Linked DNA regions of Lepisosteus oculatus. The protein of the gene in region 1 binds, or shares a complex with, the protein of each later gene. Links are inferred from orthologs where the notes say so. Each region holds a gene or a part of one and is shown in the gene's direction. Other genes may lie near its edges.

Region 1 (15,542 bases):
CCTTGTGTGAAAGCCTGCTCTATTTTTCTCCCTACATGGCCTCTACACCGCTCACCTGTAACACAAACGCTCAGAGAAGCATGAGCTCCGTTGCACATCTCCCCCACGACCCCCACCCAGCTCCATCTCCAGGATGGAGTTACAGCTTAACGCAAGGCAACGCGCTAAAGCTAGGGCATCAACAGGACCATGGCCAAAACACAGAACACCTGCAAAGCCAGGAACCATCTGCAGACGAAGGCCATTCTGCAGCTGTTCAACCATGACCTCCACTAGGTCAGGGAGGCTGGTGGGGTGAGTTGTTTCTCTGTCAAATAACAACCGCAGCCATTTTCCCTCCCCTGGAAAACTCACAGTAGCAGCAGGGAGACGGGGCTTTCTTCTCCCTAGCCAACATCACCAGGAGTGCTCCCTGGCCACCACTGCCCTTATATCCCATGGACCTGCATTCAGCGGGGATTTTTGTATGAAGTAGAATCGTGGCGGGTAGGTGCATTCTTCATGGCCAACCATTCAATCTAGACCACTCCTCCCACCCCTACCCAGCAACCCACATCCCCTCCAAGATGTGTAAACCGTAAACTTTCCCTTATTGGGGAAAGGGAAAGCCATTAAGTTTACCCCCGTTTTGTCTTTTTCCCCCCCTCATTTTTAATTCACCAACACTATAGCTTCAACCACCAGGAAGCTGTTCGAAGTAGTGACCTAGTAACCTACTCAACCCTGCCAGGCTGATCCTGTCTGGGCAGGGTTATTACTCAAGAACCCAGACTAGCACCCATGCCACCATCTACTGCGTCTGCTAGGATTCCATTCTGCCCAACCTAGTGGGCTCAGACACCACTCCCAGCCTCCATTCTAACCTCAGGCAAGACTACCCTCTTGCTACCCTCAACCCTTTGGAGTGAGCACACCGTACTCTGCCCTGCTGTCATTTCCTTTCATAACCCTTGGAGTAAACCCACTCCTCAGAGAGTGCAACCACGAGCCAAACTGTACTTTTTCCTCTCTTGCACCTTTCCTACCCACCCATGTCCACCATCTTGCCGTCTAAATACCCTGCAGCTGAGAGACGGGTCTTTATGGCTGCTTACTTTGCTAGTGCCTGCACGCAGTGTGGATTTTGAAGGTGGTGAGGCATCATTAGGCAGAGCCAGTCCATTCAGGAGACGTGCTACTCCTCCTAAACAAGCACTTTAACATCCAGTCCAGGGAGCCGTCCTCTTTGATTGAGCCCTTTTCCATAACAATTCTTTCAGTCTTAGACTTGAGGTGAGGATGCAATCTCTTTTCCCCCAGGAAAAGGACCAAGTTCTTTCCCAAAGACTAAATATGGTACTTCCCCAGTCCTTTAGGGCTAAAGGGTAAAACTCTCAAGACCTTACGGTACTCTTCCCCATTGAGCACTTAAGACGGGACATCTTAATCCTTTGGATCTGGGGACCAGGGCAGCCTCCCCTGCTCCACCTTCCTCCAGAAGTCTTCAGACTGCACAGGACGACCTTGCTTATAGGTTTGTAGTCTTCTCCGAGACCCTTCTGCCTCCTTGTGCTGGGTCAATAGGGTTTCCCCAGGGAAAATGGTGAAGGGCTAATAATGACTTTCACTTCCTACAGCCCGATTTCCTGCTGTGCATCCATGGGAAGACCTCCCGAAGCTCCTCCATCTGTCACTGCCGTGGCAGCTGTTGCACACTGCCCTTCTCAGTCTGAGGAGAACTCGCTTCCTCTTGGCATCTTTTTCCACAGACAGAGTTTTCCAGCAAAAGATTAGGAGTGTAGACAAACGTTCAGTTGTTAGAGTTCTTCTTTCTGGAGTAGTTTGTTACTCTGGCTGGTCTGTAACTGGGCTTCTGTAAAGAGAATTGTGTCCTCCACCTCTCCTCTCCGCAAGGGCCTGCTTGAGTTGGGAACACCTCTACGGACTACTTCACTGCAGTGCAAGAGACTCTGGACTAGAGATCTAGGAGGATGGCCATTACCTACTGGGCCTCCTCTACTACCGCCTGGAGGCTCATGGTATAGCTGGGTCTGCAGCTCGCTGTTTTCTTGTGTCAGGTGGTTCTGAAATGGGCATTCACTCATCAGTGTCTCAGATGACCACACTGACTCTTCTTCTGCTCTTCATTAGGCTGTAGGACCTCATTCTTCTCCCTCAGGTCACAGGTCAATGCAATGGACTTTTGCTGCAGTTTTCCCAGTTCAGCATCTTGCTGGCTCCTCTGCTTGGGGTTCTGGAGAGTTTCTCGAAGCCCGACAGTCTTCCATGGAAAAGCCTGACGGCTATGACTGAAAGTCTGGCCATGCGTTTGTCCTTTTCTGGAACCAAAGGGTCCCAGTCACATGTTCCTGGCAGCTGGAACAACTGCAGGTCTGTGGAACTGTGAGCCCCCCTCCAAGGTCACATGATCTCCTCTTCAGGAGAGTTTCTGGACCAGGCTTCAGCTCTCTTCTCCCAAGTCAAGCTCATCTCACTTGAGCACACCAGACTGCAGCCTGCGTTCCTCCGCGTCTCCTGGTGACCAGTCTTATGTTCTTTCTTCTTCATCTCCGAGGTGCTGGCCTCTTCCGAAGAGGGAGCTGTAGAGTGTTCTGGCCTTGCCGCAGGCTCTTACCGGAGCAGAAAGACATGCCTCCTGTGGTCTGCGGGGCTGGGACCTGTTCATGCTTCTCACAGCTGCCGGTCCAGGGAGGGGGCGAGGGGGGTGGGCTCTACACCAGTCACACCATCTCCTGGCGGGCCCAGCTGATGGTCTTAGCTACCGCCAGCTCCTCTCAAGCACTGCCAGAGGAGCCTGACCCATTTCACTCTGTTACAGAGTCTTCTTTTCCCAACTCTTGTCTAGCTACTAAATCATCTTCCATTGTTTTAATTGCATTCTCAGGGAAGGAGAATAATTTCCTCCCCCTTTGTTTGGGTGAAAAAAAAATCGAGATGAGAGACGACTTGCATCGGTTTTCGTCTTTTTTGGGGGGGATTGCAATACTTGTATTGACCGCTAGGGCTGGTTCTTCTTAACCTGGTAGCGTGGTTTCGGACGTTCAACACCCGTGAACCACCTGTGAACCACCTGTGATAGGGCGCCTGAAACCCTATTTTCAGTCGACAGGAGAGCCGTTCTGTTTCTCCGCCCCCTCAAACCTACGGATATGTTTATTCTTTTTGTTTTCAGTCAAACACTGTACACTGGTCTCGCCTTTTCGGAAGCCTTTTAAAGAGAAGACTGCTCTACTTCAGCTGCAGCAGGTTCCGCTCCCGTAGCCTCGTGCGAATGCAAAGTCTGCGCTTGTTGATGCCCCGCGTGGGGCCTTCCACGCCGTACACCTGTAGCGGGGAAACCGCTGCTCCACTAAATCAAATCAAAATTCTTCAGTCAATCGTCTATTTTTAAAAGGGTCAAAATACAGTTTACGATCACGAAGCCATGACCACTCGCAAGACTGTTGTTACTTGGTTTGAAATTCAGCGCAGTCCATCACTTTTCAACACCTCGGTTATGGGTTACAGTTATTTCGCTCTTGAATTCTCTTGTTTTTTCAGTCTGAAACTCCAGACAAACCTGTACGTGAGCTGCCGGGTGTCCGAAGAAAACAGTATACGTTTGCTTTTAATCCTGCTGAATTTCCTTTGTAAATAAGACCTGCGGTCTACGTACACGTACGCTAGATGGCGCAATCCAATGCTGTCAAATTTTCGATTAAAAAGTGAAGAATAATGGCTGATAGAACAGTAATTATTTTCGTTTGTTGTTAAGAGCTTGCGTGTGATTGAAAATGCCATGTTTATTTAAACATGATATGTGGAAGGCACAGTTTTTACAATGCAGTTGCACCTTGGTAAAAACAAAAGTTTAAAACAGTTTATTCCTTATCTCCATCGGGGTCCAAATTTTCGATTCTGTTTTCTCTTCAGGGTAGATCTAATGTGTTTTATAATCTTTTATCTCGATTGACCTGGTTTAGAGGACAAACAGCATTGTGGCTTGAAAACTAAATTATTCCAAGGACACTAAAACTAAAGACAAGGGTGTGGCACGTTTGTAATAAATGGTGCAGATTTAATCTTAATCCCGGGCCCTTTATCGCAGCAGGAGGCGCCCACGATGCGACACTAGGACACTCCAGCACTTCCACGCAGCTTGTGCGGTAGTGGCCGGCAGGCGCTCAGGTGTCGCTTGAAGGCCAGTGCAGCCCTGGTCCTCGCCCAGTGCCCCTAGCAGCGCCGCCGGAAGACGACAGGACCTTAACATCCGTGTAGCATGATTCGCTCTTCCCGTCACAGTCCCACTGCAGGGTCCCGCAGCGAGGGTGGGGGGGAGCTGGCGGGGGAACCACACCGCCCTTCCGAAACAAGAAAGGGAGGGGCAGCAGCTGGGGGGGAGGGGCTTACCCGGACTCGCTCGGGGTTCTCGTCGCTCCTCCAGCCCAGGGTCAAGCCGCCTGCCCCGCGGAGAGGTGGTCCTGCGTCCGCTCAGCTCTTCGGCTCTGTACGACGCTGCTCTCTCTCTCTCCTCCTGCTGCCTGACAACACCGAGCTGACGACTCTTTGTAGTATTCCTTCTGCCTTTCTTCCCCCCCTTGTCCTTCTTTTCAAAGTATAGTTTCTCCGCAGTTTAAAACCTTCTTTTCTTTTCTTTTTTGTTTCTGTCAGTTCTGGTTTCTATGAAGATATTAAACTACTCTATTTCTCGGATGATTATTCTGATGATTACTGTTCTCCGATGTGCTCTATGTGTTCTCTGACTTAAGGAAATGTGTTAAAATGTTATCAATAAAAGCAACAACTTCAATATAAGCCCTCCCTTCTCTCTCTCTCTCTTTCTCCTTGCTGTTGTCGTTTCCTCTGTCTGAAAAACATTGAAAATGCCAGAAGGACTGTAGCTGATCCAGTGGATCCTGGCTTAAACTAATTAAAATGTCTTTTTATCGTTGGCTAGCATGGCTGCCTTGTAGCACCTGGAGTACTGTCTGTGAGGAGTTTGTATGTTTTTCCCAGGTCCACATGGGTTTCCTCTGGGTGCTCCAGTTTCCTCCTACAGTTCAAAGACATACTGGGTGAGTTGGCATCTGGGAAAATTGGCCCTGGTGCGAGTCTGTGTGCCCGGTGATGGAGTGCCGTCCTGTCTTGTCCAGGGTGTCCTTGTGCCTGTTTCTTGTTGGGATAGGCACTCCCCCACAACCCTTAATTAAATAAAGAATTTAAAAAGGGATGGGTGGATGGAATAGCCAGATTCTTTAGCTGCCACTGAGCAAAAGCTGATAAAACGAGGAAGTTATAGTGTTCCGGGCAAGGTGATGACACCCTGTGGTGACCGGTGTCTCCTGCAGTCTGTCCGGCGGACGAAGAGTTCCCTTTCCTCATTGCCAGCTGCTGTCTCGCTGATTTCTGGCAGAGAGGAGGAATGCACTTGCACCAGCTGACAGGGCAGAAACCTCTCGTGACGTGGAAATGACGGCTCTCGTATCGACGCACCTGCGGACGTGATCCCCCTCTGACCCCTCCACCTGGCCACAGATGCGCCCCCCCCCCGGCACCCCTTCGGCGCCCCGCTGTGCTGATGCTGCAAGGCTGGTGTGAGCAGAGTCCAGCTCCTCCTTGCACAACAAAGGACAAAGTCTCTCCTCCTGACCCCCCCCCGCCCCCCCCCACCAGCACTCACTATCACAGGCGAAGTGATAACAGCGAGATCACGCACACCCCCGGAGGCACATGTACACAACACCCGCACGCAGCCTCTCACATCGACAGATGGACTGTGCTCCCACACCCAAAGACAGCTATACAGACACAGGTGAGACAGACACACAGCATGTTTCTGCACCAGGCAGCAGGCCTGCACGGACGCAGATGGACTGTGCTCCCACACCAGCTATACAGATGCAGGTGAGACAGACATACAGCATGTTTCTGTACCAGGCAGCAGGCCTGCACAGAGACTTCAGAATCACACTGGCACAGCGCTTTCTGAGACTGGTGCAGCTTGCACTGGGGGAAGGGCCTCTCTGACTCACCCCTCAACTTAAGCATCCTTTACAAACAGAGGGTGACTAAGAAAGCCAAAAGCATCAGGGAGTGTGTGTCTCACCCCCTCCATTGTGAATTCACACTTCTCCCATCTGGGAAATGCCTCTGTGCCCCCCAGGTATAAAACCAACAGACTCAGGAAATCTTTCGTCCCCACTGCAATCACTCTTGAACAATGCAAAGTCACTACCTTGTCTCTTGTTTCTTTTCTCCTGTAACACTTCTGTATTCTCTTCCCTTTTGATGATGTGCATTTGTCATTGTGTTGTGTTTGTGTCGTGAAACTAATTTCCCCTAGGGGACAATAAAGCTTGAATTGAAAAAGATAAAGCTTGAATTGACAGCGTTTCACGCAGTGGTGTTTGGGGTGGGGGTGGACAGAGTTTTCACTTCTCACACAGCTGTAAAACTGACCACCACTCTTTGGCCTCAGGAAGGGCAGCAGCGGCCTCTCTGCTGAGGTGGGAGAGGAGCACAGCTGGTCAGGAGCAGGCACGCCTCATGCGGACTGTAACCAGGGTGAGAAACCACCCTTGGCCTACTCCCACCAAGCCCTTCATTACATCAGCAGGGATGACTGTCCAAAGGCTGCTCTAGAGTTTCCCATTCACATCCCATCCTGTCACCTAGCAGCGGCAGATTTCTGGTCTCTAGGGGCCAAGACCACAGCAACACACAGGTGAACTCATCTTAAAGAGGTTAGGGAGGCTCCCCACTCACACACAGCACGGTGTGACAAAACCTTTAGCAACGCACATTCCCAATGCTCGGGGCCTGGATTTAACACCGAGCGTAACCCAACTAGTAAACACCGGACCTCGTGAAATCAGGACGCTTCCTCCCGTCAGGACTTTAAGTAGCAAACTTCTTCCTAAAGAGTTTATTTTGTCTACGTGTAATTCACAATGTAAAAAGCTGAGGAATAAAACGGTTGCTTCTTTTTTATATTTATTTAGCAAAAAATATTTTTTCCTAACGGGCACTACAATACGCTTAACAAACGGCGAGCTCGTCCTTTCAGCTAAGGTTACGTCTCCCAGCGTGAGGGTGCGGCACGCCAAAATTCCTGTTCGTGACGTCAGAGCGCGGTGACGCAGAAGGCCTGGACTCGGAGTAGTCTTGCTCCGCGCGCTGTCATTTCCAGTCTGGAGAATCGGAGGGCAGTGCGGCTGTGAGGTGCCGAGCCGCTAGTTAACTAATATTCGCCGAAATACTTACAGACTTTCACCCGCTAACCGACTAAAGGAGAACAAAACGTAAGTCCTCTGCATTATTTCTAGATAGGTTGCATTTAGAAAAAGAACGGCGCGACTAAAAACCGGGGGAATGAAGCACATCTCTGTGACGGCATAGAGAAGTAACTTAGGATCTTTTAGTAATAGGTAGCGATGGGAGCAGACCTTCTGTAGTACCTGTCTGAACTCCCGGGCAGGCCTTGGGAATGCCAGGCTGTAGTTTCTTTCCCCTGCAGGAAAGGTGGCTGAAATATTCTAGCAAAATTGTTTCTGTAACCCGGTACGCAAGGAAAGGACACAGTGATGGACAGTAGCGACGACCCAATCGCACCGCCGCGGTGTAGGCGGGCTGCTGCTAACGCAGCCAATCAGCGTAGCTTTTAGCAAGGATGGAGGCGGGACTGAGCCGGGCGGGACTGGGCTTGGTTGAGTTTAAGGAGAGAAAGTGCAGTATAGCGAGGACGCAAGGTCAGGACATAAGCGTAGTCCGCTAGTGGGACAAACAAGACGCGGGGGGGACATAGGCTCTCTGGGAACTTCACTGGAGGTTCAGCGCAGAACTGTGACCGGGTCCCCGTGCTGCAGAAAGCTGCCTAGTTGTTAAAGGAGGGCTGTTTTGCTGCACTCACTGCGGCTACGGGTTGCCATGAAAAGAGACCCGCGCATACACACACAACGCGCGTGTGTGTGCGCACATTGTGTGCGTTCCTGGAAGCATGAGGCGAGATAACACTTTTTTTTTTTTACAGCCCCGCACAGTACTCTAGTCTTTCTTTTTAATGCTGACTTCAGCAATCAATACATAATGAGGAATGCATAAATTACTCCAACGCTTAGAAATAAACGAGCAAAAGGGCAAAGTTCTATGTGCTGGGACCTACCCCAACCACCATCGCCTCTTCTTGGGTCTGTGCTGAACAGGGCTCTTTTGAGTTGTCTGTTATTCAGCCACAAACGCTGTTCAGCTCAAACAGAACAGAAGATACATGGCTGTAGAAGCAGCAAGGGCTTGAAAAGCAGATAACATGTAAAAAATGAAGTATCTCTTGCATTTCACAATTAAAAGTGTGCAGTTCGCATATAGGTGATCTTTTATATAAGATCTTTTCTTGGCCATTTACATGTGGAGCTTGCACTCCTTTTGTATCTCTTTTCACAGTACACCATCTTCACAGTAAAATTAGAAACGGATAGAAATACATCTCAGGGCTTAAAGGTGCTGATGGACTTGGAGATCAGTCCACACAGTCCTGGGGCTACCCAGCAGGATGCGAAGCCTGTGACTTGTTCAGAGCCCTGCTTGAGTGATGCAGGGACTTGCACAAGAATGTCGACAGGAGCCCATTCTTCTTCTGTAATTGGAGAAGGAAAAAAAATCATAACGTACCTCTGTGAAAGCATTCCAATAACCTTAGGAAGGAGGCATGTCATCCTTTCACAACAGGCCTGCTAGCGTTGTTTGCAGTCGCAATCTGTTTGCTGCGTTGTTGCTTGGTGTCCACTCTCTCTGGGTCCTGGATCATTCCTTCTGCTTGTGTTCTCACCTTGTGCGGCGCATAGGCGCGGGCCTTATTTTTTCATTTCATGCTGTTCGGCTTGGTGCACACGGCACAATCTTCACCGTGAAGTTTTAGATGTAACGTAGAGGAACGAGTGAGTTTCACAGACACGGGTGTCTGTGATGAGCCGCATCAGTGCTGTGCTGCTCGTGAGTGGTGAGTGCCGATGATTCATAGTAGCTTCAGCGTGATGTACAGCACTGAGTGGATGAGGTCTGTATGTGTGCACTGGACGAGGAGCTTAGTCACCTCACGTTTATCTCAATACAAATGGAATGGAGGGCAGCATGGTAGTTAACTGGGTCCTGGCTTCGATTCCAGCCTGGGTCTGTTTCTGTGAGAAGCTTGGAATGTGGGAGGGAATCGCAGCACTTGGTAAAAACAATTGCTGACTAGGTATAGCGGGCCCGGTGACGGACCTGTGTCCCATCCACAGTATCCCAACCACTGGGAGAGAGGCTCCAGGATGCATATCAGCAATCCGCAGTTTTCCGATAACGGATCGATGGAGTTAGACTTCACGGCAGTTGCTGTAGCAAGACGAGGGAGAGCCACAGTAATTGCTGATGTGGTACATTGTGCAGGAAAGCACATGACTGCATACGGAGCACAGGAGCAGTCCTGAAGATGGGGGAGCCATCAGCTTGAGTTCTGTTGTTACTGTTGTATCCTCAAACATGCCACTGTGTGCCCTGTAGTCTGGTTTGCCTGACACTTCCCTGATCTGAACCTGAGTGGATCTTCATTTTCCTGCCCAGAAACACCAGCCAGCATCAGCTTCCTCTTGTCCCATGGCGAGCTCTGCCCGAGACTCCATCTTTAACCTTCTTCCTCCATAGAAATTTGAGTCCTATGATGACAGTCTGTGGGACTTTCTTCTCTTTCATGTTTCAAGCAGTTGCCCTTTGCCCCCCCCCCAGACAAGGCTGAACAAACAAATGTTTTAATTGTCTTTTTGGTTTGTTTAAGAGGAAGGGTCCCGAGAAGAATTCAGGTTACATTGTCTTGGATTATGAATTAGCTGCACATGGAACACTTAATCCTGTTTTTACCCCTTTGGATGGAACAGGTGATGCTCATCTGATTAGATTTCTTACTGGACAAACCAAAGTCAGACTTTTCCGATTTGACTTGCAGACATGGAGTTTGGACCTTCCGTGAATTCTCCTCCCACATATCCTTCTTTTTTTTTACTGCCCGTGTATATTTCTGGATCCCAATATGTGCAGTTTTTAAAACTGAAACTTTGAATCTCTTTTCTGGCTCTGTGAGAATCCTGACTGGGGCAAGCTGCCAGACAGCTCACGTGTTCCTGAGCCACAGTTAATGAATATTTGGAGTTGCAGGTCTTGACTGTGGTAGGCAGAGCCCGCACAGGACCCACATTACTGACTGTACATGTCTGCTCCGATGATCTGTCTTCCTGCTCAGTAGAGAAAAAATCTACTGTGTGGATTTCAACTTTGCAAGCTGAAGGCACACTTCCTCTTGCCAAATAGGCCTTAGCCATTGGCAGCTGAAGCTGAGTTCTCGGTGTGACCACAGGCTGACCTGGGGACACGCCTGAGATAAGCTCGAAAGCTTGCATGAACCTGCGTTGTCAAACAAGTGATAAAAGTCAGGCTTTGCATGTTGCAGGTTCCAGAAGCGATGCGACAGAGCGTTAGGTGTTATTAAGAGGAGAGCCGTAGCCCTGGAGCTCAGCTCACGCCCTGGCCCGCCCTGTGAGGGTGTTGGGTAAGAAGCAGAGGGTCCCCACGTGACCTCGTGCTGCCCCTCGGGACGTGAACTGAACAAATCAGGTTTGGTTCTCAGGTTCTTCTAGACCTCGGGCCTCAGCCTGCGTCCCCAGGACAAGGGGGGGTTACTTGACAAGGAGCCCCTGAGAGCTCAAGTGATAGAGGAGTCTCTGACACAAGGGCCTTGACAGAGGCCCATTCAGGTGACTGGTGACTGCAGGGCGTTTCCTTCCCTAGACTGCAGACGGAAACAGCTTTGCCAAATAAGGAAACCCACTGTCACCGTTTTCTCCGCTGGATACCTAAATGAAGTAATCAGGGTTGAGGTTTAGGGAAGGAATTTGACATGGGAGGGTACAGCAAAGTTGTTTTACTCGCAGTGTATTTCACCTTTTCCTTTTATGTTACATTTTTCACCTCTTACAAATATACAGATTCCACAGTGGATTACAGTGTATGTGCCATCGTGTTTTTTATATATCCAACACCTCTACTTCTCTCTACAGCTGTTGTCTCAGTTACAGCGAAAACTCCTCTGACAGCAGAGTCATTCTTCAGTTCTTCTGTGATTTGGCAGGCCTTTGTCAGGTTGTTAAGGCTACTCTCGCCTCTCTCAAAATGTCTCTGGGGGTCAGTGTAAAGAAAAACACCTTCCGTCTCCATACTGCATGTCTGTGCATTGTGGTGGCCTGGGGGTTTTAGGTAGGTAGGGTACACGTCTTGCACAGAAGCAACTGAGGCCTGTAGGCTAAATTGAAGTAGACACTAGGGCTGTCTCTCTGCAGTGTTTGGCGATCAGACCTGGCTATAGTTGTGGTTCTGGGAATGTTTGGCCTGCTTTCTGTAAATAGAAATTCCTTGAACATTAAAGATGATCTGTCTTCTGCGGGACTCGGGTCTTGTAGTACAACACATGTTGTTGCTTTAAGTAGCACTTTTCTGTGTGCACTAGAGCATTTCGATGCTGTGCTGTGTTATTAATGACACAGTTAAAAGTTCAGATATTATATAATGCTGCTTTGGGTCACATTAGGGTGGCTCGAGGACTACACTGTGGTCCGGTTCTGCTTTTCAGACCAGTGAAGTCGTATTTATATTTAGCTTTGGGGCTTTCGGCTTCTAATGTTTGTCAATGAGATTAACGTAACAAAAATGTTAACATCCGGCATAGAAAGGGCAAGGTTTATTCCACAAAAGCTAGACTGGGGAATGGTGTCCTCCTCATCACGTGCTGAGTGACTGTCACCATTGTTTTTCCTAAACTGCGTCCAGAAAACATTCCGACACTTAGAATACTGGTTATTCTGCTTTCCTTTCTTTAGGGAAATGTGCATTTTTCCATTGTGACTCACTGTTGTGTAAAGCAGCTTTCAAGAATCTGTTGTTTTTTTTTTTTTCATGCCCATTCGACAACAGCCACAGTGACCTGAGAATTCACGATCGCTGTAACGCTGTCGTCTTTCCTCCCGTTGTTTCCCGGTGCCTCTGCAGAGACAGGGCGTGGGGATCCGCGAGGACGACGCCGGGGACGCGCAGAGGAGAGTTCCAGGGAACAGCAATCCCAGCGAGAGAGAGAGAGAGAGAAAGAGGGCGACAGCGAGACGGGAAAAAGAGAGATTTTCAGTAGCGGGTGGCCGGCGGAGCCGTGCGTTTTAAGGGACTGCAATGCACCGGTTAAGGACTTGTGCTGCCAAGCTGAGGCCTCTCACGGCCTCTCAGACTGCTCAGAACTTCTCACACAAAAGGCCGGCGGCCCCGAGGACGTTTCAGCCAATCAGGTGCTACACTGCGCCTGTGGCCGCCGAGCCCTTCCTCAGCGGGACTAGCTCAAACTATGTGGAGGAGATGTACTATGCATGGCTGGAGAACCCCAAGAGCGTACATAAGGTAAGGCGCCGAGGATGATCGGGCTAACGAGCCCCGGGGGAGGGGGAGGACAGGCGCCCTGCGTTCGGAGGGCTCTGTCTCTTTGTGTCTGTAAATTTAACGGAGGAGGAGATCTGTCGGGAGAAGAGGAAGGAGGCGCCGCGAGGCGAGAGAAGGAAAGGAGTCTTCCCCAGAGGACCTGCTGCGTGGGTTCGCTGTTCGACGTCCAGCGCACTTCTGGGATTTCCACTTTGCAGTTGCCAGAGTGCCTTTGACTATTTAAAGGTGCTGCAGCAGGTTTTGAAAGCTGGATGAGTGATGGTGGTGGGGGGGGGTAGTGTTGTGTGGTCTAAAACAGATGCGATCTTCAGCAGCCCCTGGGAGCCCATGAGTGGGCTGCTTTTGATGTTAACTAATCTTCTAATTATGCAGTCGACTTGGAAAAAATAAATCTATTGTTTTAGGAGCTGCGAAAAGCTAAGACGTAGAGACCTATAAAATGCTGGTGGGATGCAGACCTCCCTGAATGCTAAAGTCTGCTGCCTCTGCGTGTTGAGGGAATGAGCTGTGTTGAACTGTACACTTCTCCTTTGCTTTTGCTGTGGTTTGCCTTTACGAGGTTTATTTCCCAGTAAACTGACCTTGACTTACAGTGCTTTTTTAAATGTGGCACGTCCTTTCCTGCCTTTACCCAAGACGTGCTTAACTAGAGAAGAATTAGTCAGTGTCTACACATGCAGCGAGCACAGAACTCTGGTTTGCGTTAAGACTTGGTTGTGAAGCCCTGTGTCAGGTATATTGAAGAACTATCCCTACAGTGTTCTCTTATCTTTCCTTTTACCATGTGTGTGTGTGCGCACGTACTTTTCAAACAAAACTTTATTTGTACTGTAGATTTTGGAAACGCATAGCAACCATCATTCCCGGTCAGATACAATCACATTTCAACTGGGACTTTTTTTAAAGTTGCACTGCCACCTGTTAGGGAAGGTCAGATAATGGCAATCTGTGCAGTGTATAAATGGACATGGGAGCACTATTGAACAATGTCAATATAAAGGCTATCCGTTGTGCTATTTTTAAGGCTTTAGTCTGCGCTGCGTACTTACACTTTTTTGAGAAATTGTAGAATCTTTTAATGGAGTAGAAAAAATAGTTGGTGACCTAATCTGGCCTTTCCCCAGCAGTCTAAGTTTGCGATTATACTTGGGGAGCAACTTGAAACTCTGCTGCACACTTCATCGTTCATGTGCTCAGTGTCAATAAGGACACCCCGTTTAATCAAGCAAAAGTATTTCATCCTAATAAAGGTATGATTCATCATTCAATTTTAATAGCAGAGCTGCACATCGCTGTAAACGCTGGCCCAGATCCACCCTGCAGGAGTGGTGATTTGACAAGCTACTGACCCCTAAAGATCTTTGAGCCAAAGGTTGAGAATCGGCATGCGAAACTCGAAACGGCCTGAGATTTATGATAAATGAGAGCTTTTGTGTCCCGTTTAAATCAACACTGACTCCAAAAAGAATGTAAATAAGACGCTGATTTAATTCATAATCATAATTGCTTACACTTATATAGCGCTTTTCTGGACACTCCACTCAAAGCGCTTCACAGGTAATGGGGACTCCCCTCCACCACCATCAATGTGCAGCCCCACCTGGATGATGCAACAGCAGCCATAGTGCGCCAGAACACTCACCACACATCAGCTATCAGTGGGGAGGAGAGCAGAGTAATGAAGCCAATTCATAGATGGGGATTATAAGGAGACCATGATTGGTAAGGGCCAATAAAAAATTTGGCTAGGACGCTGGGGTTACACCCCTACTCTTTTCGAGAAGCACCCTGGGATTTTTAATGACTACAGAGTCAGGATCTCAGTTTTACATCTCATCCGAAGGACGGCGCCTGTTTACAGTATAGTGTCCCCATCACTATACTGGGGCATTAGGACCCACATGGACCGCAGGGTGAGCGCCCCCTGCTGGCCCCACTAACGCCTCTTCCAGCAGCAACCATAGTTTTTCCCAGGAGGTCTCCCATCCAGGTACTGACCAGGCTCAAACCTGCTTAGTTTTAATGGGTTGCCAGTTGTGAGTTGCAGAGAGATATGACTGCTATGAATTGCTTAAATTGCAACCTGGACAGTTAAGAGGTATTTCAGTATGGGAGATGAGAAACCCCACTGATGTTCAAGCTCAGTCGGAGCATCAATCATGGAGTAAATCTTGTCTGTGCTTTATGTGGGAGGAGGTGGTAAATTATTATTATGATGATGATGTTTGGTTTCAAGGAGAGCACAAAAAAGTTCTGCTGTTCACAGCATTTTGAGGTGTATGAATTAAATACAAATCCATGGAGGTATTATAGGTTTGACATCCAGCTGCAGCCAGTGTCCCCCAAATGTCAGAATCACTTAACCCATGTAAAGGTCAAAGTTCGTTTTCTATAAACTGTTGCAGTTGCAGGTTAAATGGAAAAGTTCTCTCTTCTGACTGTGACGAACCGTTGGATACCAAACCGTTTTTTTTGTTCACCAATCAGTGTATTTTGTAAGCAGCATGTGGACAGTTCATCACTGCAGATACCTGCTTCAATCTGTAAAACTGCAAATGCACGACATCTAGCTAGGGCAGAAGAAAATCAGATTCTGGCTTGTAAGGTGGGCGAAGACCAGAGGAGCCAGCAAAAACCACCACAAACACACCAAGCATAGAAGACTTGTTGGTTGTTAAAACACTATTATGGAGAGCAACAGTGCAGAGTAAGCTCGTTATCCTGTTTTCTCAGAAACCTCACCTTCTATGTTATAGGGAGGGATACAAGTCGTGGACGACCGGATAGCCCTTTTCTTTTCCTGGAGCTTTCTCCCGCAGTCCTCCAGAGTCCTGCCACATTAGAAACACAAGGCCTTGACGTGTGGAACGTACACGCGTGCTACAGCACGGAGCACCACCCAAAGCCGCCACACGTGTGCCCAGCCAGCTGGAGCTGGTGCAGCTCGGCAGAGGCCTGATGCAGCCACTCGCCATGAGGGGTCGAGTGTTTGATTGTCGGAAGAGACTGGATGTTTTCCAGTCTGTGTGGTGGTGCCCATTTCATGAACAGTACAGCTC
Region 2 (16,687 bases), on another chromosome or scaffold:
AGAAGTGACTTCTAAGGTATGTCTTTGGGAAGTGCTTAACTCCTTTCTGGGAGTGAATTAGGAGCCCTTATCCCTAACAAGTGATGGTTCTCTAGAGTTCTGATCTCCATCCTCAGTTCACTGAGTTGTTGTTGAAGGGCTATGTTTGGGCAGTTGCTGTGCAGTCAGTGGTGTTTTTATTTTGTGTCCCTCTGTCCCTGAAGTGCGTCGAGGCAGGTTTAGAACTCTCTGAGGACAACCTCTCCTTCATGCAGCGCCAGCTCGAGCTCCTTCAGGCGCCCAGGCAGCACATAGATGTTATTGTGTCCATGAAATCCAGGTGGGTGTGTGACATCGGCGACGAGGGTGGAGCTGCAGGCCGTCCCGGTGGCAGGGGGTCGACCCTGCTCTCCTGCAGCTCCTGTGTCCAGGGTTCGATTGCAGCTTGGGTACTCCAGGTCTTCACCAGGAGCTCCGTTTCCCTCCCGCCTCTCAAAGACACGGAGCTGGAGACCGATTCCCTTTCTGGGGGGATTTCTTACTCGGGAGTGTTGCATATATTATGGCCAGTCCTGACACTAGAGATTTATAACTAAATCGGTGTGGTGGTCCCAATGGCTTCTTCTCATGTGTGTTTTGGTGAACAAGCCTAGGAATCTGTATTCTTTTTAAAATGACTTGACATCACTTACTCTGAGTCAGTTTCGATTGATTTTTAACATTGTAGTCAGAACTTGTAACAGAGCTTATAACAGTTTCTTTGCTGTTCAGATATCATTCATGATGCTGTTTAGTTGTCTAAGGTGCTTAATCTGCCGGTACTTTTTGCGAAGTTGTGATCGTGTATTTTGCAGGGCGCTGAAGGAAGAAGAGGAAGAAGGAGAGCAGTTTGACATCGATGAGGCTATCGCTGAATTAGAGGTAAGCTTCTAAGGTACAGTGGACACTGAAGGACAGATCTTCACACTGTTCAATGTCTGTACAAGCTGCCCCAAAATTGTGATTTCTGCGTTACTGGAGGACTTTTTTTTTTGTTCTGACTGCATTTAATTTTAGTTTTCTTACCAAAGTTTTAAAACAGATGTACATAGTGTGCATCACAGAGAGCATGTGTTTCCAGATTGTTGAAAATGCTGCTTTGTTTCACTGCGCTTGTTTATTTGTGGTAATGGAGATGATGAAATTGATTTAATTGTATGTAGATTGTATTTTCCAAGCATTGAAGATGTCATATTACTCATATTACTGACGATGTAAAATATGATATAATTTGTTCGCCACTAACTAAAACGGCTAGCTCACCAACATCTTCCAATTGCAGTGCATCAGTTCTCAAACCAATAGTGTTCAAACTAACTGGTTAATATCGGTCTAATTCTTTAACGCTGAAAGAGTGTTGAAGTTGTACACCAGCACTGTACACAGCTGTACTGCAATTAAACAGAAATGTTTCTTTGTGATCTTCCAGATAGTTCAGATTTTTTAGGCTGAATCCAACTTAGATGTACAAATGAATCACTTTCGTAATTATTAACAACTATAATAATCCTAAAACCATTATGTAAGGGTGTTACTCTGGTGTCTTGACTAAATGTAACTATGCAATCCCAAAATCTGTCCACACTTCTCTGTGTTGTCTGCTGTGCAGTGGAGCTGCTGTTCAAACTGGCTGACAGGCCTTGTTCAGGTGGGTACTGTGCTAAACATAGACCCCTGCTATGTTTAAACTGCTTCCTTGTCCTTTTTGCCTTTTGGATAAATTTACTACACAAATGCAAGGAGTTAATATTTTAGTAACATTTTGTCTGAAATTGGCCAAATTTCAAGTCAACAGGTGCGGCTTTTCCTGTGACGCCTGTAGTTTGGAGTTTGCCAAAACATTATCTTACTCTTGTCAACCTTCTGAGCTTAAGCAACAGCCCCATTCCCATGTGTTAGATCCTCTAGGATGATGCCTTGTATGTTTGAGTTGATTGACCGAGCCATCTTTGAGCAGGAGCGCAGGAGGACAAATGTGGTTGAAGCAGCTTTTGAGGTGCAGGTCAGAGGCAGCTTGAGCTGTACATACAGTCTAGCAGGTTTTCATTAAATTGTTATTGTAGCTGGCAACACAAAATGGTGTCTTTGAGTGTTAATGGTGTACAAGCTAGGAAGACGCCAGATTTGGAGTTAACTGGTCGAGCAGTATTAAACAGCAGGGGTTAATGTCACAGACTGTACTGGCAATGGTGGGAGAGGCGGCAGCAGCAGCACTATCGGCTTGATTTATACAGGAACCGGTTTTCAAATATATCCTCCCTGCTGGTGCTGGAATTGTACCTCTAAGGTTTTGAGTTAATTGGTCGTCATTTTCAAGCAGCGGAAGATGGTCTGTGTTGCTCAGAACGGTTTATTGCGCTTTAGAGGCGTAAAAATTAATGCACCAACTTTTCATGTGTGAAAATCTCAGAACTTCAGCTGTTAGTAGTCTGCCAAGTTTCAGTTTAATCGGTGTGGCAGTTCCTTAGAAGACTTTGAAAAAGTTTTCCAGGCCAGGCGGCCCACTTGGTTGGCACGAGACCCACATTTCTGTCTTATCTTTCCTGGTGCACCTGTCTATAATATAACATTCCCAGGCTGCCTGAGATTTGAACATAAGCCGTTTAAAAGTACCCCAAAAAAAGTTAACAATGGAAATGTGATTCTAGCCACTGCCTGGACATTTTGTGTATCATTATTTTCAGCAGTGTAAAATGATCTACGGGAGCCCGACTTCATAGCAGCTTATAAATACTGAGAAAATAAGGCCCAAGTGAGTTTCAAGCTGAGCCTTTTGGTCGATCGTGGATGAGCAGTACCCAATATCGGCATTTTCTGTCCATTGCTACTCAAACATGAAAAAGCAGCTCTAATAACACCAGAAGCACTTGCTGGTCTATACTGGAGTGTCTCTGCAGTCGCAAAAGAAGCACTGAGATCTTATGAAACAAATATAAATAGGAAAACCAAGTAAATATTCATCATTTAATCATTAACTGCCCTGAAGAGCTGCGTCATAACTATAAATCACTTGGCAACTGGGCTGAAATGATTCATGCAGCTTATTGAAAAGTACAGGTAGTGGACAAACATCTGGAAGCGCCTATTAGCCACGTTCTAAACCAGAAACCAAGGTGCGAAAGTTTGGAGAGGACTGGTCAATTCCCAGTGGAGCTGATGGAGGCCCAGAGCACAGAGGTGGGGAATTGAGCGGGCTCTTGCCACAGCTCACAGCTCCCTCCTCCCACTGCATGTGGCCTCCTGGTCTGGGGTTTCGGTGACCGTCCTCACGGTTCCCACGCGTGCCCTGGGACTTGTGTCTCGCTGTGGTGACTGAGGGCCGTGCCTGGAGGATTTCAGTGGCTTCAGCTCAGCCTTCCAGTGTGGGGGCTTTCGTTTCAATCAGATTGATTCCAGAGCAGCAGTAACTTTGACAGCTTTGCCAGACTCATAACTCACTGTTCTCAATCAAGTGTTTTTAGTGCGTAATGCAGTTTTATTATAACATCACTTGAGTTAAATTCTACGCTTTAAATGGTATACACTAACACTTTGTCTGCCTTTTTTTATTGCTTCCCTACTGTATCTAGAAGACGTAAATGATGCGTCAACATAAATGCCTAAGTTTGTTTTTGTAAGTATACTTTTCATGCTCAGTGTTTCCCTTTTTGCATCTTAAGTTTGTTTTCGGTACGTGCATATAGCACTCTGCACTTGTCTGCGTTTTGAGGTCATCTGCCATGCATTTACTGTCTTAGATTGTACGGAACCTACATCTGTTTGAATTTCCGTTTTTTATGCTAATCCTTCTGTCTGGGTGTGGTCTGCGAACTTGGCAAGTTTTCTCATGAGTTGGAACTGATTTGCTCTCATTGCGTTTCGCCCATCTTGCATCCGGTTTGGTTTTGTGCATGTGAGCAAATCAAGCTTTTGGAATAAGTAATGAAACCAGCTTGTATTAAAACATCAGATACAAGTGCACTACATATAAAGAAAAAATATTCAACTTCTCTGAGTGTGAAACTGTGTCTCCGTGGGTCTGAAGTCTTCTGTTGCGCAGGTTTCCACTATGCTAAAAATGTAGCGAAGAAAATGGTGATGCGTTCGGTGAAATGCACAAAGGGGACTGGAAAAGAATGTCAAAAAAACTAAAAAAGGCCGAGTTGAAACGGCAGCTGAGACGAGCCAGCCTGCTCTAGCGAAGGCACCCGTTAGAGAGCTGAGGAGTCGCAAGAGAAAGCTGCCTGGCTAATGCCCAGCCTCTGTGTTTCTTCAGCGCTGCCCGGAGGGTGTGTCACACTCGGTCAGCGACGGGCACCCAGGCCGCAGGGGATGGACTTGAATTTTGGTCTTTGATTTCTCTTTGTCTTCAGCGATGTAAAGAGCAGGAAGACTGGGCTACGCTGGGAAGTGTCTTCAACAGCGTGTGCGGCACCAGCGGGAGTCTCGCCAATCTCAACAGATTCTGTGCTTCTGTTGCTTCTGCACTTTTGAAAGACCTTGAGAGAACTCCACTGGTTCCTTTCTGTAAATTTGTCGAGACAGGTGTGTTGGTTTTCTTTATTTATGTAAAAATGTTTCTCCTCTGTATATACTGTATAATCTACTTTGAGTAGCAGTTACTTCGTTTTTAAAGTTTTTGTTACCGTGTTTGTTGTTTTATTTACCAGTTATGTCACGCTTGTTCTTTATAGCGACAGGAGTTTTTACGTAAAGGGAATAATTTATCAATTGTTTTCAAAATGGTCTTTCCAGTTTGTCAAGAAGGCCGAATAAATGAGCTGGGCAGAACTTTGCTTGGAAGAATTGGAATTTCTGTGATGTTTGGGTACCACAAAACACAGCAGTGGACAAAGGTAGGCTAAGCAGTGTGGTAAGAGCACTGCCACAGAAAGGGCCTCTTGGTGTCCATCAGGTGCCGCCAGGCAAGTGGATTGAAGGATTGACTTCATGTAGGCCTTTGTTTGATTAGGCAAGTAGAGATTAGGCACTAGAAGGTGTAACTACAGTAGTTTTTCTGCTCAGTTGGGCATGTGAACAGTTTTCATACTTGAGCACTTTTTTTATTCATATTCTCCTGCTGGTGAACAGTAAAGATGACAGTCTTTTAGGGGGAGTTTTAAAAACTTTATTGGATCACACACAGTACATATTGACTTATCCATGTTTATGTTTCTTGTTTATAATGAACTCGGTGTCTCTAAGAAAATGTCTTTGGCGAACATTTGTCTTTCATGATTTGGCGTGAGAGATTGGTACCGATTTATTTTCTTTCCCGCCGAGAAGTTTTCTTTTCCTGGAGATGAAGGAACTGTTGTAATAGGACAGGTAACAGTAATGCTCTGTTCAACAGGGTCGGAAATTGTTGGAAGCCTTAAACGGAATGAAGATCAACTTTTTTACGCTCAAAGGACTCCTGGGGCATGAGCGCCACGTGTCCCTGTGCCAGGTTGTGAACGTTGCAGCAGATATCTACCTCAACACTGGGAGTGTGGAAGGCGCCATAAACGTATTGAAAGGTGGTGCTTCTGCTGATGCATTCATGTTTTAACCGTGACTAATTCTGGCAGCCATGCTACCTCCTTCTAGGCCAATTTTGTCAAATCTCGGATGCTAAACAGCCAGCCGGGCCGTGTTAGTACCAGGGCGGCCGCCAGCCTGCTCCAGGAAGTGTGAGCCTGTAGAGACCCTGCTCTGTGGACAGCAGGGTCTTTAAAGCTGCTTCTTTCACCATTGCATGAGAGGCGAACCGTGTGTGTTCTGGTGTCACTGTATTCTCGTTGTGTGGAAGTGGATGCTGAAACAACAAAACAAGAACATGTTCAAGCCAAATGATTTTTTTTTATTCCTTCAGTTTAGAAGCCCAGATGAATCCGCTTGACTCCCGGTAGCAGGTTTGATTTTTTTTTTTTTACCAGCACAAGAGGGTAAAATAAACTGCTGGCTTTCTTAGTAAATGCATCCATTTAGTGCTGGCTGCTGCCGATTTCAGTGTAATGAAGTTGGCATCACCTGTCGCTCTGAAGGACGTCCACTTTAGGAAACTGGCCGATCGATTGTGCGTTAGACCTGTTAACTGATTCCATGCGCTCCAGGGGGTTTGATGGGGCAGGGTGTGTTGGCCCTATTTGTACTCTTCTGACCAAGTGTACAAAACAGATTTGGTCGTTTTGGAATCGGTGGGCTCCGCAAGTCCACGGCCTCAGGTACTTTTCCTAACGCAGAGTGAATGAAAATGTCGGTTCTGTTTTCTCTCCCCCAGCGTCCGAGTGGGTCAGCAGCTCCGCGCTGTGGCCGTGCAGCCCCGGGGACGCCGGGAGCCGCAGCAGTCTGCTGTGCCGGCTGGCGGACGAGGCGGCGGGGAAGGGCCTGCTCGGAGACGCCCTGGACGCCCTGACGAAGCTCCCCGGGCTCCAGGACTTCCCAGGTACGGAATGGAGCCACAGCGGTGAGTCCTGCCTGTCAGGGTTGGGCCCCCTGACCTGGAGGGCGCAGGTCACGGCCGCCTGCTGGGGGCGCTGTCTTTGACTCGGCCGTGACTGAGCGAGGCCGTCTCCACCGGGGGCTGGCTGTCTTCCACCTGCTCGGGGACGGGGAATGCAGATGCTGTGTGTGTTCTGGCTGCCGGCTTTCCAGTGTTCCCAGTGTCAGTTTGGGACAGTGTGCGTTGGGTAGAAATACGGTTTCTTGTATGTTTGATAAAACCGTCTGTCGGTGAAAATCTGATTTTTTTTTTTATCTGAAGGTGCTCGAAATGGACTTTTCATAGCTTAAAATGTCATCTCTCCCTCGATAGATGTCTATCCTTGTGAATGCGTACAAGGTCGTGTGTTGAAGAGATGTGGCTGGTGACAGACTGTCGGTATCAGATGTGCACAGTGCCTTATTGATGAAGTTCTGACCATGAAGGGAGAATCTCAGGGGTCCCGTGTCTTTTACAGTTGGACATCCTCCTGCATCTCATGTAGTGCCACAGAAGTGGAGAGTCTTTCATAAACATTTAATCATAGTTGCCAGTTTTAGGCGGCACAGTTTCCAGCCTCTTTCGGTGCCATTGGCTTATCCTTGAAAGCCAAGGTATACATTGAAGGAGGGCAGGGCCATGACTTACTGTCCTCTGTTCATGAAAGTCTTTTTTTTTCAGTTTCAGATGCACCATCTGTTTCCCAGTGTGTTCCAGTTTTCAACAGACTCTTAAAGTGTTGCATTGAGCAGCACAATTTGACAGTGTCGTCCAACGCTGTGGACTTCATGGTGTGCAAGAAGATACCTGTGAACTTTGGCCTGCTCAGGAACTTAATTGACAGATTGGGAAGACAGTCTTTGTGGGTGAAGGCAAGATCCCTATACAAATGTAAGTGCTCACTTTTTCTTCCTCTACCTTTTTTTAGGAAGTTGAATTCACATGTTTATGCCATTTTGAACCAGTATGAGGTTTACTCAGCAAGCACTGTAAACTATAAACTTAAGACTGCTGGATATTTTCCATTGTGCAACCCAAAAATGGACATTCCTGGTTCTGGGAAGTTAGTGTGGTTATAAGTTTTCTAGGTCCCTTCAAAGCACCTGATTTGAACTGTGTTGGTAATTATTCAGCCACTGAATGAGCTCTCCTTTGAGAGCTGACTTGGATTAAAAACCTTCAGACACCCTAGCCCTCTACGACCAGAGCCCATCCCTGGTTTACCAGAATTGTTCTACAAGCAGAATCCAGTTATGTACTGAAGAATTGGTATTGTTGTTTTCTTCTGGATCTTAATGCAGTGCATCTTGCTTAACATTTTGGATGTGGTTCAGAAAACCATGAGGTATTGTAAAAACAATATATAATAAAGTGAAGTGATTATTCTTATAGGAAATAAAGTTGTAGGCAGATGCTTGCACAGGAGCAAGTAAGATTTAACAAACAAGTTTACAAATATAGTAAAGCACTTGATTTTAGGAAAATAGCTTTTAAAGGCGTAGACATTTTACAGAGTTGTTCACACATTCCGTGGAGCACTGTCAAAAACATGAATACAGTAAAATACACAGAACTGTAATTGAAAACTGGATGTATGTATCTGTTAAGCCAGATCGGTGCATGGTGAAAATGCATCGCAGATGGTTATAAAAAAAGGTTGTTAAATGATTAAAGACAGTGTATAGATCACAATAAGGACATCGGGCACGGTGAGCAGCACAGCCTTCCTCGTTCCTAGCCTGCTCTTCTGTGTCCTCAGGTGCGCTGCATCTGGGCTGCTACCCCCCTGTCAAAGAAAACACGTACTGCAGGCTTCTCTCCGTTCCCTGCTCCCTAACCGAGATCGAGATGACACTGGCCTTTGAAATGTTCATGGTTTCAAATGCAAACAGCATTCAGAATCCAAGTACTTGTACACACGCTCTACAGATTGTACTGAAAAGGTATGTTTTGTAGCTTTCTGAATTAAAAGCACATTTATACAGACCATTTACAAACTTCTGTAAATTGAATGTATTCAAATCTGAGAGAGGATACGTTCATGTTGCTTAGTAGGTTACTTTTTTTTTTCTTGGAGCGATCCAGAATGCTCCCAATAAAGATATTTGAACTATTTTTAATGTTTGTAAGGTTTATTTAGATGAAGAAGTCACACTTGCTTAGGCTTTAGTGAACACTGTACTCAAAAGTGCAGTTCTGTCAGTTTGTGAACCAGTTAGGGATCATTTCTATTGGGTGCACAGCCTTTGCTGATGAATATTTCTATATAAGTACTTAAATTCATTTCGCTGCACATTGACAGAAATGCTAAACATGACTTCGCTAAACGTGTCCGCTTTTAATTGAAGTGCAGTCGTTTTCTCCCCAGGAAAGAGGAAGATGGGTCGATCAGTGAATGTGACTACCATGCAGCTGTGAGCAGACTCGTGTCGGCTGCCCAGATCACCAGGCCGAAGCTGGTGATTAAATATGCCACCGTCAACGTCTGCGGAGAGCAGGTGTTCACGCTGGACCCTCTGTCGGCTCTGAAGTGGCTGAGCCAGAACATGGAGTGGGCTGGGAAGGCCTGGCTGGTTTCCTGACGTCTTCAAGGAGCCCGTCAAAGAAGAGCTGCAACGTTGTACATTAATCATTAATGTATGGTGCACAATAAAGATGAAGATAGGTTTTTCAGATCATACTCAAAACATTTGCTTTATTTTAAGTTGAGTTTTATCACGGCGTTCAAGCTTGTGCATCTTCACAGCACCTTGTTTCCAGCATTTCAAGAGATTCTCTTCCCTCTCTTGCTTGTCAGTTTTACAGTTAGGTCCTTTTCCAAATGGGTCGACGTGATGTCTGTGAATTGGTGAATTGGATACCTGGAATGAGGTACCTTCTCCAGCTTACTGTATAGGTTTTTATGTTACAAAAGTATCTGGAGAAGAATATCGTTTTTGTTTTGCATTGTGGTCATTTAGGAAGTAACCTCCTCAGGTATATTAAGTTAAAACAAACGCTTGCACTGAATATAGCAACTGTAACGAAGAATAGCTGAACCCAGGTTTGCTTTTATTAAGCAGATTTTCCTTGTGAATCATTGAATCTGCTGGAGGTTATTGAATAAAAGGCATCTTTTACATCATTCATGGCATTTTGTGCCCAGAATGTACTTCTTATTGCCAGTGTTCTGTATTTGTTACCAAAATTATGTATACGTGTACTGATGAGCCTTCCAAGATTTACACCTGTACAATTCCACTGGTAGATGGGGACAGCTGTATTCTTTAACTTACACGTTCTTCAGGTTTCTAAAGGAACTGAGCAATTACTTGGAAAATAGATGTTGCACAAGACCCTTGACTTTAACAGTCCTGTTTAGCTGGCGCTTGCATTTGGTAAGAGCATCTATTAGACTGCTTTGGATCACTTGTGAAGGGTCTGCCAGACAGAAGAGTTGGTTTATGCCAATTTAACTCACTTTGCAATGTTTCGGAAACTTGAAATGAGCAGAAACCAACTTGAGTATTAATTTCACATATTAAGCTACATTCTACATAAAATGTGATATGTTGCACCACTACTGCATTGACTTGTGTAGGGAATAAGAAAGAAAATGCTTCAATTTATGTAATTCTAGTTATAGGGTTTCTTTCTGTAAATAAATTGTGTTTTGCTGAGTCTTAAATATTTAAGATAAGTTAACAATGGGAGTTGCATGTGATTTATATTTTTTGTACAGGTACATCTGAAAATAAAAAGGTTTGTGAGCAATCAGCTTTTCGGTGTTGGCAGTCCTTAGTGAACCAAAACGAATGGACTAAAAAACTACATTTAAATACATTCGGCAGCTACTGTGAAATGATTCTGCTTCCGTTATAAAGAAGTTGAATAAGCACAGCAGGAGTCTCGTATCAGTGATTTAATACGGTGGTCGACTCTGTCATGTGAAATAGTAACGCCTCGTGAATTTCACAACCCAATTTGGGCTAGTGTTTTTAAATGTTATGTTAACATTACATCTTATACGAAATAACCGATGGTTACCTGCTTCTTGCTGAGAGAGGGGGAAAAAAATCAGTAGTAATGAAGGACCTTGCCTTGAGACGCAAGTCGCCTCTGTGTGACCGCGGTTCACCCGAAGGTGGCGCTGGTTGCGGCCGGTCCTGCGTCACGTCTGAGGGGAGCGAATGGGTGAGCGACTGCTTCTGTCTGACGACGCTCGTTGTTTTTAAATGGAGATGCGGGGGTGACAGCCTCGTCCTCTTGCTGCTCTGGGGTTAAATATAGTTCCGCAGCTTTAGATGATGAATGTGCACCCGGAGAGGTACCGTTAGGAAAACCGAAAACGCGTGAAACGCAGCTGGATTTGTTTCTGCCGACTTGAGAGCTCCTCGGTGTCGGTGTGTTTGTGTTCAGCGGATGATGTGTTGCAGGCGCGCTGGTCTTGTCCTTGCACTGCGTGTGTCGTTGTGTGAATGTGTCGCATATTGCCAGGTAGGGTTTAACGATTGCGATTACAGTTACAGCTGCTCCTCCTTATAATGCGTCTCAAATATCTCGGGAATCTCGCATTGTGTTTTCTTCCTTTGCGTAATCGCATTTTCTGGATGTGTCATAGCGCTTCATGAAAGATGTCTTCTGTGAAAACAACTCGTTTTACCAAATTACCAGTTGCATCCTCTTCATACGATAAGTTAACTCCGTAAAAAAGCCCATTTCTTTTTGCCGGTTAAGAAAAATCTCTGCACCTGTGGATTTCAAGAACGGTTTCCAGTGAGATGTCTGTAACCTGCTTTCTGCGGTTTCTGACGAGGTATGTATGAATACTGTAACACTATGCATAACCGCTGTACATGCTAGCCTCTTGTATGGGATATTTAGTGCATTCTCGTTTATTTGCATGGCGTGAAGTTAACAGATGCTTTTGGATTGCTCCTTAGATTAAGCAGGTTGTGTCTGTATATGCAGAAGTGCAGGAATGGACCTAAACAGGCAGCCAAACGATGGAGCCACTTGACATTTTACCAAACTGCACTAAAAAAGTAGAACATACTATTGATTTGCTTGAAACTGTATTAACCTTTTTCCAGTGAAATGTAAAAGGCATGGCTGGTACTTCACATCAATCCTCTCTTTAGAAATATACCTTCTTTTTTGTTAATTTGCTTTTTCTTCAGTCTTCTTTCAAGCGCACACAATCCAAGCTGTTAAGAGTGGTGAAATGGCTGCCTCCGATTGTAAAATGTTTTATAGTCTTAAGATACCAGTCCAGAGGTTTATCTTTAACCTGTTAAATGTCGTTCCTAAAATATGTATTGGCTTCCAGGTGGTAAACCTTGTTATAGCTCCTTGTGGTGGTGACGAGCCAGATTTCTGTCCTGGGGTTTGACTGTTTGCAGTCATTGTACTGATTTAACATGGGTTGAATTGTGCCCAGCCTGAGCTGGCAGCTGGCACAGTTCCTTCTCCTGTGACTCTGCAGTTCATAGTACAGTGCATTTGTGAGGGGAACTGGCAGCTGCAGGCTTTTCAATGTGCTCCAGATCAGGTGTTGAAGAAGGCAGTTATCCTGTGGGCTGGTAAAGCCCGTGGAGCTGTGGCATAGCAGTGGGAGGAGCGCATGCTGTCTAAAACTTTACCTGCGTGTGCCTTGTAGCTATAAGAGCAAGTCAAGTGATTCTCTACAGACTTACAAATTAGGCCGTCCTTCAGTCTCTCCTTTATGTGACAGCTGCAGATCTTCTGAAGGCACTCCCCACACCTCTTCTGGCCGTCTCCCAAGGTGTAATAGACGCTTTAGGGAGAAATTGTTTTGGGAAGAATATTCCCCCTGGACCCTGAGCTAGTTCTCTTCGGTGGTTCAGGGGCAACACTCAGACTAACAAAGGAAGAACAGTCAGCGCTGGAGTCCAGAATAGTTCTGGCCAAAAAAATGATTCTTATAGAATGGAGATGTGTTATTGGAAAGAGCTGGTTCAGTGAGATGATCTCTGCTGTTACAGAGAAGATTTGTTTATATAGATCAGGCACTGTGGAGTGATACGGGTTCCTTTCCTGAATGTTGTGAAAAAGACTTGAGTCTGGGACAGGTCCCTGACTGTTTCACACATCTAAACAGTCTGTGATCATTTCTCTCTTAGATTTAATCTCTCTTATCTCAGCAAGAAAACTTTTTTCAAAAAGCCATAACCAAGATTTAGCTGTTTGTTCTTTGTGTGTGTCTTTAGGTATTTTATGTTTTTATGTTGTTTTTCAGTTCTTGTTGTCTCGTTAAAAGTTTCTGAATTTCTTAATAAAACACAGATACTCTACGATGGAGACTAAAATGTTCTCACTGGGCCGTGGTTGCAATATTTATCCCACAGGCACCGTTTTACTAGAGCTGTTAATGTGAGCCCCCTTTTCTGTTGCTGCTTTGTGTGACAGTTCAGACTTTGATCTTCCAGGCTGGATGTGAACAAACTCTTCCACTTCAGACAGTGCAGCAGTGCAAGTACACGAGTCTGCACAGCTGGATGGACACAGGGCGTTTCTAAAATATTGCGGTCATTGATCTGCACTGTCATATGGTATCTGCCTTCTGGCACCATCATTTACATTTTAAGGTGAAATGGTTTAAATTGAAAATGGTTTTAGTGGCAGAATTCTGAATTAATTAAATTGCATTAAATGGTTTCTGTGGGTGTCTACGAAAACAGAAAGGAATGATAAAGTGCATCAGAGCCCTGTGGTCTGTTTGACACCAATCTGAAGTATTCATATTTGCAGTATTATAATTCATTTTACCCATGCATTTATTTGTCACTATTGCAAATATCATGTGGCAAGCGGATGGATAGATATGACAGGTGCACATTATATACTGTTCTGTTTGTTGTGCCTTATTATTATTAGTGTTTATTAGTGTTTAGCTCTTTTTGCACTGGTCTTGACAGCTGGATGAAGAGGAGCATGTGTTTGAGAAGTAAGGAGTAGACGTGTTTGCAGGGTCTCGGGTGCTCTTCCTGTCCTGTTCTGGAGTCTTGTGACGGGCGTTTCCCTTTTCCACAGAGCTGACTGCAGCAGGCGTGTGGCTGCACAGCTCCTGCAGAAAAGACTCCTGTCGGGGGCAGAAGCCGTCAACGCGCTCCGGCCCTTCTACTTCGCAGTGCACCCAGATTTCTTTGGCCAGTATCCAAGGGAGAGGGTAAGCAGCTCCTTCAGACGAAAAATTGTTTTGTGTTGTGTTGTTGTGGCTTCAGGTATCAAAACAATTTGATACACCAAACACCAAATTTGCAGGAAAAAAATATAATTATGGTACAGTATATACCATCGTGTTTTAGCTCTTTAATATCTTAAGACGGCACACAAATTTCAGAATTTTGTGTTTCCTGGAAGCCAATTTAAATGCAGTCCACTTCAGAGAGAGACTTAATTACAGGATTGCATTGTGGGTGTTAGTGATGTCCTGCTTCAAGATGCAATAACTGCCTGCTTGCATTGTGAGCAGAAACAGAGTGTGCTTTCTGTGAAAAGTTACATTTTCAGCATTTTCATTTTCTTGATTTTTTTTTATTGCAATATTCAATTGCCTTTTAAGGTAGTACAGTGCATTATATGTTGTAACTGTGTGGTGTTGGAAATTTGAGTGTCTTGTCTCGCAGGAGGTGAATGAAAACTCACTCAAGCGGCTAAATGGATATTTAGAAAATCTTCAGAAGCCAGGTGTCCAGTCCCTCAAACCAACACGACTAACATTTTATGTTCGAGACACAACAGCAGAAAAAGATGCTGCTCAACATGAAATCCTTAATTCAGGTACTCTGGAGTACCACACACCATATATCTATATCATATATTATATTATCTGTCTGAATGCTCAAGTTCTGACAAATGATGATGTACACAACAGGTGTCACTTTGTAAATTGAAAGGTTTATACTGCAGTGGGGTTGTCGGGGCTGGTTTGTCAATGTACTGTGTGCATCATGCTGGCTTGCTAAGTCAGATGCACAGACCTCTGATAACCTGCAAAGCAGTAAATGTAGGCAATTTATTATTAAGACAAAGTTTCTAAAGCCGTTAGCTTTCAAAGTCAGGATTTTACCCTTTTCTGGATATTTTTGTACATTTAATAAAATGAGATGAACGTTCATTTGGTCTCGAACGCTTTTCTTTCACAGGGTTTCGAGCAGTTAGCTTCACCTTGCAGTCGAGGGATATGCGGAGCGCGGTGTTGGACGTTCTGAGGTCTTGCAGCTTGTCCACGGAGCACATGCAGGACGTGAAAGCCGGTGTTTGCCCAGACACCCAGATGTATGGAGCTGGAATTCCGTTCTATAGACCCATCAAGTGGGACAAGACTTTCTATTCATTTACAGGATCCCAGGATCCCGAGCAGCAGCTGGACAGAGCCAGGAAAGCAGGAAAGCCTACGTTGAGGTACCGTGCTCTTCAGACCTCTGGGATAGGGATACCGTAAGATATATTTGACTGAGTGAACCATTATTCAGTTAATATCAACCCCCCAAAACAGATTATGACACAATAAAGTGGGACTCTGTTAGCCGTTCAGTTTAGTCATTGATTTAGATCATGTCCGGCCACCTAAGTTTTGTCTGTGTTCTTCCAATGGTAGAAACAATGCAATGCCAAAACACTTGACGTTGGTTTTTCACAAAATGCTTTCAAAGCATGGGTGGGGCACTTCCGTTGCACCCCTGACCAGGGGATTGCTCTAGCAAGACATCCTTCATGGCCATCGTTCTGAGAATTCCTTGATTCATTTTTCTTTTGAGTCAAAGTTTGTTTAGTTGATTTCTGCTCGCATGTTTTGGGTGGAATTGAACTGTTGAAGTTCATTACTTGATTGTGCTTTGCATCTACAACAGCTCATGGTTGAGCAGCAATGAAGCAACAGCAACAAAGAAGCTGAAAGACAGCCTTCCTCGAAGAGCTGAGCTGAAGAGGCTGAAAAAAGAGCTCTGCCAGACACTGGGACTCGCAGACATACGGTAATTTCCTCATTCCAAGATCTTAAAAAGAAAAGCTTGTTTTAAAATGCCTTTCAAGCCATTATAATTTGGAGCTATCAAAGAAATTATACTAAATTTAAATATTCTGTGTTTAGCAACAGTAATTACACCTCTTTAGTGTTAAGCTATTTGATAAATGATCCTCCTTCCTTCAGGTGAAATATCTTGACTCTCACTATAAAATGATTATGTGGGAGTTTTCTGACTTAAATTATAAAAACAACCATAAAACCCTTAGGAGTTTGCTTATTTTTTCCTTCATCCACGAATCTTACTACATTAGCAAAAGAATAAAATTATTTAACATTTCCTGGTTCAGAGAGTTATCTGGAAAAAACAAAAGGCAACAGTGTTGCAAACTGTTCTATTCTAGCTCAATGTTTTTAAAAAGATCACTATCATGGCTTCTGAAACTTGTGCTTTATGGATCCCACATGTTGCTGGGTGTGTAGAAGTGACTAGTTTTTCTTTCTATATCTAATAGCATATTTTAACATTTAAAAGTTTAACCTCTACCACACAAACATCAGTGCAGAGGCTATAGTTCAGTCTTCTGGAAGAACTGTTTCTTCAGTTCCACAAAATACTGAAGTAATAACTCGCAACACTTTGAGTCATTAGACTTCCAAGTACTGTAAGCCTAGGTAGGGATTTCTTTTCTTTCCTTTTCTTTTCTTTCTTAGACTATGCGGTCTAGTAATCTCACCTAGGCCAGCGTACAGGATCAAATCAACGATTACATTTGTGTCCTGCATCAGCCAAGATGGCAGCCTGACCTGCGTCTTTGAAAGCCATTTCAAAATCTTCTAATGAACCTCTGTACCAGTTTGCTGATTTGAGTTGATGCTTTGGAGATTTCACCAGTAGCCAGAACTATTTCGATTTTGCATCTGGAAAGTTGCTACAAGGATTTGAACACATGCAAGGGGTCGTAAACTGGTCTGAGAAAAGTGTCCCAATACTCCAGCTGCACCTGCCCAAACAGTGTTAGGCCAGTTAACTCCTAATTATCTGTAAGTGTGCAGTTAACATCTGGCACAGTGTTCTTCCTGTGTGTACGAAGATGACCGGCCTACTGCCTGTTTGTCTCACAGCTCAGACTGCCTCTGTCTTGCAAACCTCTGCAGCAGTGGACACGAAACTGGACAGGTTCCATGAACCTCGCACTGCTTACACACAACACAGTGATAGTGCCCTGACTGTGTGGAGTGAGTGCAGTGACGTTTAC

The links.
Region 2: the proteins of ogdhb (region 1) and tcaim are in contact, whole or in part, in a cryo-EM structure (PDB 8I0K), measured with the Homo sapiens proteins. The link is inferred for Lepisosteus oculatus from reciprocal best matches to the Homo sapiens genes OGDH and TCAIM. Residues at the interface, in NP_001425937.1 of Homo sapiens: Gly301, Tyr304, Arg323, Tyr354, Arg356, Ile358, Arg364, Asn365, Lys387, Glu391, Tyr394, Cys395, Gly396, Thr398, Glu399, Lys401, Lys402, Lys561, Met602, Pro605, Glu667, Gly668, Ile669, Asn709, Met734, Ala735, Ser736, Pro737, Asn738, Gln772; in NP_001269842.1 of Homo sapiens: Glu214, Gln234, Arg235, Ser236, Trp237, Gly238, His241, Ser244, His247, Ser248, Arg251, Gln255, Asp272, Arg273, Thr286, Met287, Asp288, Val289, His290, His291, Glu331, Leu332, Gln333, Pro334, Val335, Arg375, Tyr376, Glu441, Ser443, His473.

Annotation. Positions count from the first base shown.
Region 1 is NC_090697.1:69,251,128-69,266,669, forward strand, and holds the start of ogdhb (2-oxoglutarate dehydrogenase complex component E1), read left to right. Parts: upstream 1-7,119; 5' UTR 7,120-7,280; intron 7,281-12,048; 5' UTR 12,049-12,222; coding exon 12,223-12,444; intron 12,445-15,542. UniProt on the Homo sapiens protein: 2-oxoglutarate dehydrogenase (E1o) component of the 2-oxoglutarate dehydrogenase complex (OGDHC). Participates in the first step, rate limiting for the overall conversion of 2-oxoglutarate to succinyl-CoA and CO(2) catalyzed by the whole OGDHC.
Region 2 is NC_090705.1:42,755,396-42,772,082, reverse strand, and holds the start of tcaim (T-cell activation inhibitor, mitochondrial), read left to right. Parts: upstream 1-10,679; 5' UTR 10,680-10,750; coding exon of another isoform or gene 10,751-10,766; 5' UTR 10,767-10,917; coding exon 10,918-10,936; intron 10,937-11,176; coding exon 11,177-11,255; intron 11,256-13,492; coding exon 13,493-13,628; intron 13,629-14,088; coding exon 14,089-14,242; intron 14,243-14,607; coding exon 14,608-14,866; intron 14,867-15,315; coding exon 15,316-15,438; intron 15,439-16,687. Other genes in the region: protein TOPAZ1, read left to right, coding at 1-16, 204-319, 834-900, 4,371-4,542, 4,753-4,853, 5,351-5,516, 6,260-6,424, 7,142-7,351 and 2 more. UniProt on the Homo sapiens protein: May regulate T-cell apoptosis.